Linked DNA regions of Arabidopsis thaliana. The protein of the gene in region 1 purifies or fractionates together with the protein of each later gene. This does not show direct contact. Each region holds a gene or a part of one and is shown in the gene's direction. Other genes may lie near its edges.

Evidence for each region.
Region 2: the proteins of AT2G46620 (region 1) and STRS2 fractionate together in Arabidopsis thaliana (co-fractionation; one large-scale study listed by BioGRID). This does not show direct contact.

The regions. Positions count from the first base shown.
Region 1 is NC_003071.7:19,139,121-19,142,876, reverse strand, and holds the start of AT2G46620 (P-loop containing nucleoside triphosphate hydrolases superfamily protein), read left to right. Parts: upstream 1-2,027; 5' UTR 2,028-2,330; coding exon 2,331-3,756.
Region 2 is NC_003076.8:2,792,482-2,796,237, forward strand, and holds the start of STRS2 (DEA(D/H)-box RNA helicase family protein), read left to right. Parts: upstream 1-1,906; 5' UTR 1,907-2,058; coding exon 2,059-2,300; intron 2,301-2,394; coding exon 2,395-2,501; intron 2,502-2,624; coding exon 2,625-2,680; intron 2,681-2,777; coding exon 2,778-3,002; intron 3,003-3,398; coding exon 3,399-3,605; intron 3,606-3,679; coding exon 3,680-3,756. Other genes in the region: PDE340 (P-loop containing nucleoside triphosphate hydrolases superfamily protein), read left to right, coding at 19-225, 300-386, 475-570, 650-865, 950-1,132, 1,351-1,578.

The DNA.
Region 1 (3,756 bases):
TTGATCAGCTCGATCTTAATATATGCATAATTGAACACGGAATCATGATGAATGCACATACCGATGACGTTCAACTGGTACAACTTTACAGGCAATCGATTAGTGCAGAAAATGTAAAGCAAAAGCTGATAAAAATAACGGAAGAACATTTATTTCCAGTGAGTGTAATTATTATTAATATAGGACCACCGTGTATGGGTATGGCTTCAGGAAATTTGAAAATTCCCATGCTGAAACATTCAAAGTCTTTTTGAGTCCGCCAATACACACCTTGTATAAACGAAGCTATTCTTGTTTGAAGAGTCCTCCAAATTACAAACAAAATAAACAATGAAAAGTCTGCACGTTAGTCTTTAGACGAAAACATATTTAAGTTTGCATGATATTAAGATTCAAAAAAAATCTACATTAAGCAAAATGAATGCTTTAACCAAATAAAAAGAAAACAACAGATAGATAACCAAATAAGAGTTATATGATATAGACTTATACCTTAACATAATTAAATGAGTGTTGATATTTCTTGTACCAAATAACAAACACCAAACACATGCAATCTTATAAAAAGACCACAAGTGTATTTACTCATGAACATGACACTTTTCTTGTAACTGTAATGAATTAATTATGATTAGTTGCGATATTATCCAAATTACTGAGTCCCTCGTTGAATGGCGGTGTTTTGGTCGATTAAACTTCTTTGTAGTAGGCTGATTTTTGGTGCAAGTTAGGAAATACAAATATCCGATGCTCTCGCTACATATCAACAATAAGCAAAATATTAAAACTATTAATTGTTGGAAAGAAATAAGTGCTGCACTCATTTAATGGTTAAATCAAAATTTAATTAGTCGACGTTGAAAGCAAAATAGTTTAAGAAAATTAGCATAGGGGCATAAATTGTCCGGTCTATTCTTCTGCTATATAATAGGAAGAATAATTATGCGGCTATTCCGGAAACTTATACTTAATTTTGTTTATTGTAAGTGTTAGTTGGTGGTGGGAACTAAACTTTTGGGCTTAATCATGAACCATGAACTATACAAAGCTGTCTTTTGGCCGTTCGTTCTTTTTCTTTATTCAGTATAAGTCTAGTCATCTCTCTAACTAAAATGTATATATTAAAATTTACGAGTTAGTTACCAATTCATCAAATAAAACCCTTCAAAATGCCAAAGGGTTTCGCCGCTTGTTAAGTTGAGTATAAATTAGAAGTGCCTAATTCCTCTTGCGCCGACCCTAAATGTTCTTGACAAATTAGAAAAACATGACAGACAAGTTTAGCTTGTTTCTTAAGTGAATTAGCTATGAAGTCCTGTCCTTGATACCGATTGTAATAATATATATGTGGAATAGTCGAGTAATGAACATAAATAATATTTTTTTTTGTACCAAAAATAAAAATAAAAAATCATGTTGCTTTGTTTCCTCGTTTAAGTTGACTTTACAAGTTCGTCTTGTCACGATAGTTGAAAACTAATCTGCAACGAAGAATATTTCGGTTGCCGTATCAAATGCAACATGTATCGCGTTACCAATAGATTACGCTGTTAATCTTCCTTATGCGTAAAGATAAATAATTAACTCGACACCTAACTTATATTAATTGAGAACTATAAAGACTATGCAACATATTTTGTGGTAGATAAGACCATAATATTCTCTCAGTTTTTTTTTTTTTGTAGATAAACGTATAATTTTTGGTTTATAGAAATTAGAATAGTAATAGAAGATTTATCCTAACTCTAATATTTTTCCTTGGTAATTAAGTTCCGAATGTAAATGCTTTATTAATTACTATTTATCTAAAATTAGTAAATATATAATTTTTTAGAATTTTTTTCAGCCAAAGTATCAAAAAAATCTCTATAAATCTAATGAATATTTTATCTTCTTCTAATAATAATATTTTTTGCCATGTGGATTATTAGCTTTAAAAGAAAATCTTCCAAATCAGCAATCAAAGAACTTGTCAAACAACTAAATCGCCGTTACCTAGATTTATAAAAATCACCCCTTTGATTGCTGAGTGACCTCGTCCCCGTCACGCCTTTTTTCTTAAAGAATAATTTAAGAAAAAAATAATAATATCTCGTCGTCCTTTTAGGCTTTCTCCGATTGTTCTTAATATTCCTCCAAACTTTCTCTCAATCTCCGTCAAAATAATCACTCTCTCTTTGTTTTTTCTCACAATTCTCCGAACATGCGTTTGCTTTCTTTATTCTCTAATAAACCTAGTAAACTCTTCTTCTTCGTTACTACTATATAATATAGCGGAGAGTTTTGGAACCAGAGAGAGGTTTTACGTTTTTCTTATTTTATTTCTCTCCATGGGGATTCTTTGGGATTCGTTTCTCTTGTTACTTGTGTCAACGTTTGCTCTGTTCTTAGTTAGGATCCTGTTATTCAAAACTGGATTGATTTACATGGTCAAGTTATGGCGTAGGAAGATCATCGACTGGTTTCATGTTTACCAATTCTACAAAGTCCCAGAATTCAACGACAACGTTCAAGAGAATCATCTCTACCAAAAAGTCTACATGTATCTAAATTCCTTAAGCTCGATCGAGAATTCTGATTTCACGAACCTCTTCACCGGGAAAAAGTCCAACGAAATCATCCTCCGGTTAGATCGGAACCAAGTCGTTGGCGACGAGTTTCTCGGCGCTAGAGTTTGTTGGATTAACGGAGAAGACGAAGATGGAGCGAGGAATTTCGTTTTGAAGATTCGTAAAGCTGACAAACGGAGAATTCTCGGTTCTTATCTCCAGCATATACATACAGTATCTGATGAGCTTGAACAGAGGAACACAGAGCTTAAGCTTTTCATCAACGTCGGAATCGATGATCATCTGAATAAGAAGAAGAAGAAGAACGGACGGTGGAGATCGATTCCGTTTGATCATCCTTGTACCTTCGACAACATCGCCATGGAAACGGATCTGAAGAACAAAGTCAAATCTGATCTCGAATCTTTCCTCAAAGGTAAACAGTATTATAATCGTCTGGGCCGTGTTTGGAAACGGAGTTATCTCTTATACGGACCTTCCGGTACCGGAAAATCAAGCTTCGTCGCAGCAATGGCGAATTTCTTAGATTACGATGTTTACGATATAGATCTCTCCAAAGTAGTTGATGATTCAGATCTTAAGATGCTTCTGTTACAAACCAGAGGCAAATCAGTGATCGTGATCGAAGATCTAGATCGACACCTCTCGACGAAATCAACGGCTGTGAATTTATCTGGGATTTTGAATTTCACTGATAGTATTCTCAGCTCTTGCACCGCCGATGAACGGATCATGGTGTTTACGATGACTGGGAAAGAACAAATTGACCCGGCTATGCTTCGACCGGGTCGGGTCGACGTACACATTCATTTTCCCTTATGTGATTTCACGGCGTTTAAAACGCTCGCTAATAACTACTTAGGTGTTAAAGAGCACAAGCTTTTCTCTCAAGTTGAAGGAATATTTCAAAACGGTGCGTCTTTGAGTCCCGCCGAGATCGGAGAGTTGATGATCGCGAATCGTAACTCGCCGACTCGTGCATTGAAGCATGTCATCAATGCTTTGCAGACTGATGGTGATCGGAGAGGAACTGGACGACGTTTGCTTTTAGAAAATGGTTCGAGAAAGTCGACGTCGGAGGATGTTTCTGATGATATGAGTGGTTCGCTTTGCGGCGGTGGCGGAGGAAGTTCGCCGGCGGTGAAGGAGTTTAGGAAGTTGTATGGGTTGTTGAGAATTAAAAGTA
Region 2 (3,756 bases), on another chromosome or scaffold:
ATATTTGAACACTCTCAGATCCTTGTGGCTACACCTGGAAGGCTCAAAGACCATATTGAAAACACTTCTGGATTCGCAACAAGATTGATGGGTGTGAAAGTCCTTGTGCTTGACGAAGCTGATCATCTCTTGGACATGGGTTTCCGAAGGGACATTGAGAGGATAATTGCCGCTGTTCCTAAGCAGAGACAAACATTTTTATTTTCTGCCACCGTACCTGAAGAGGTTACTGTCACTTTCTAGTACAAAGGCTCTCATTTTTTGGGTTGGAATCTTGAACTGTGTTTTTTGGTGTCAAGGTCCGCCAAATATGCCATGTTGCTCTGAAACGGGATCATGAGTTCATCAATTGTGTCCAAGAGGGCTCTGGGGAGACACATCAAAAGGTAAAAGATTTCTCTTTAGCTTAATTTGAGTGAATGGCCTGCCATATGATTGGATGTTATCAGTTTCTTATGTTTGTTTTATCTCCAGGTCACACAAATGTACATGATTGCATCACTGGATAGACATTTTTCGCTTCTACATGTGCTTCTTAAAGAACACATCGCAGATAATGTGGACTATAAGGTAACATTATCTCTCTAGTGCCATTATGAATAACCAATGTCTGTATTTCTGAACTATCCCGATTTCGTTGCTGTTGTAGGTTATCATTTTCTGTACAACTGCTATGGTGACAAGATTGGTGGCTGATCTGCTTAGTCAGCTAAGCCTGAACGTCAGAGAGATCCATTCTAGAAAACCGCAGAGTTACAGAACCAGAGTTTCTGATGAGTTCCGCAAGTCCAAGGCTATTATCCTAGTCACATCTGATGTATCTGCTCGTGGTGTGGATTACCCTGATGTGTCATTGGTCGTACAGGTAACCATAGTTTTCTGACATGGAATTGTTCTGCGACTACAAATTTTATCTCTTTTGTTTAACTGAAGTTGTTTGCTTTTGCAGATGGGATTGCCATCAGACAGGGAGCAGTATATACATAGACTTGGCAGAACCGGGCGGAAAGGGAAGGAAGGGGAAGGAGTCTTATTGTTGGCACCATGGGAAGAGTACTTTATGTCATCTGTTAAAGACTTGCCCATCACCAAGTCTCCACTACCGCCAATAGACCCAGAGGCTGTGAAAAGGGTAAGCATTTTCATATAAGCGCACTCACATGAATTTGTGATTCTACTGAACTTGGCAAGCCTTTCTTAACTCATATTTGCTGGCAATCCAGAATGAGTAGGGAACTTGAAACTGAACCTGAATCTCATAACACAACTCTTTGAAGTTAAAAGCTATGATTTTTGAAGGGTGTGAGTATGAGTGAGTATTGCTGGGTATAATAAACTTGTTGAATTCAGGTGCAGAAAGGGCTGAGCCAAGTGGAAATGAAGAACAAGGAGGCGGCGTATCAGGCGTGGTTGGGTTACTACAAATCTCAGAAGATGATTGCAAGAGACACGACCAGACTGGTGGAGCTGGCCAATGAGTTTAGCCGCAGCATGGGACTTGACAGCCCACCAGCTATCCCCAAAAATGTTCTTGGCAAGATGGGTCTCAAAAACGTTCCTGGTCTTAGAACCAAGTAGATTTTCTTTTTTCCTAGTGATCTGCTTTGGTTTTAAAACTTTAATGTTTTGTAAGTGTAGACGTGTAGTCTCTTGTCATTCTTGCTACACTCTTAAGACTTCCTAACTAAAAAATCCTATAAAAGTTGCCTTCTTATAAAGGTCTTTTGTTTGTAATGGCTTGTTAACATGAGTATTTCGATTTTCACTAAAAAAACAAAAAAAGTATTAAGTTGGATTATACGTGTTTGAAGATTTAACAAAACTTTTTTCTGATATAAAACAACACGTTTCAAAGCAAAGGGAGCAACTACATGCCGTTTTGTATATTTGTTGACATTTTGGGCCACTCGCATCTGTACCCTTAAGCCCTAAATTGTGTTTCCTACAAAACCTTTTAAACCCTAAAATAACCGACGGCGGGAATTTGGTAGTTGCAGAGCCTTACAGTTAAAGGCATACGCTTCACCGTTCTCTTCCGTCTTTTCTCCACTCGTTGGCATGAATTCCGATGGACCCAAATCCGGTAAGAAGAGACGAGAGATTCGTGCTAAACTTGTGAAGAAGTTGACGAGTGACGAAGATGGCTCGGGAAAGCTAGTCAAGGACAACAATAAGAGTCTAAAGAGGGGAAGAGAAGGCAAATCTGATGTTGATGAGCCTCTTATTAAGAAACCAGCTTCTACTACGCCTCTAGTGACTCAAATTGCTAAAACTTCAGATTCTTATTTGTCAAAGACAAGGTACATTTTTTGCGTTTCTTTCGGAGATAGCTTCAGAGCTATTCTTAGTGGTGTTTGATTCAGATTTCTCTTTATGGTAAAATGGTTCTTACAGATTTGATCAGTTCCCACTGTCTCCCTTAACGTTAAAAGGAATTGAGGATGCTGGATTTAAGACAATGACTGTTGTTCAGGAGGCTACTCTTCCTCTCATTCTCCAAGGTGAACTTGCCTAAAAGGCAGAAACTTTTGCATCTTTCTTCATGATTCCTTATGTTTTGTCATGACTTAAACATTTTGAAGCTTGACTATTCCTCTATTAATTATTCTTCCTTGGTTTTCCAGGTAAAGATATCCTTGCGAAGGCCAAAACAGGCACTGGGAAAACAGTTGCATTTTTGGTGAGATACCCTTTTTGGGTTCATGTTGGTCATTTAGGATTACAATCAGTTTGATTAATTGGGGTTTGTTATTAATGTTGATGTTTCTTTTTCCAAGCTTCCATCAATTGAAGCTGTTATCAAAGCTCCTCCTGCAAGCCGTGATAATAGGCATCCCCCAATTATTGTGCTTGTGGTATGTCCTACTCGGGAACTTGCTTGTCAAGCTGCTGCAGAAGCAAACATCTTGCTCAAGTATCACCCATCTATTGGTGTTCAAGTTGTGATTGGAGGCACTAAGCTTCCTACGGAGCAAAGGCGCTTGCAAAAGAGTCCTTGCCAGGTAAATTTTCATTTGTATTAATATGTAAACTTATTTCTGAGCAAATCATGCATTTCCATTGAGCTGGACTTCTCAGATGAAACTTGTTATCTGACCAATAGAGTTGCATATATTTCTTTTCAAACTGAGTTGGTTATCCTTCGCTAGAACAATATGGACTCATGATTTGAATTTCTAAGAATATGAATTAAGATAGATTGTTTTTTAAAAAGAAATGGATTTCCCTGTCCAAGTTAGGATTGTTTTTCAGTCACAGGATATGTTCTTTGATCTAAGCCTCATTATGCATTTAGATTTTTTTGCATTATTTGTCTTCCCTGCAGTCAAAGTGGCTGCAGAGATGGTGATCTTTGTCTCTGTATATTTTTGAATAATAACATATTTTCACACTCTCAGATTCTCGTGGCTACACCCGGAAGGCTCAAAGACCATATCGACAACACTTCTGGATTTGCAACAAGGTTGATGGGTGTGAAAGTCCTTGTGCTTGATGAAGCTGATCATCTCTTGGACATGGGTTTCCGAAGGGAAATTGAGAGGATAATTGCTGCTGTTCCTAAGCAGAGACAAACATTTTTATTTTCCGCCACAGTATCTGATGAGGTAAGTGTCAGTTTCTTGCACAAAGGCTTTCACTTTTGGGTTGGAATCTTGAACTGTGTTTTTTTGCTATCAAGGTCCGCCAAATATGCCATGTTGCTCTGAAACGGGATCATGAATTCGTCAACTGTGTTCAAGAGGGTGCTGGGGAGAC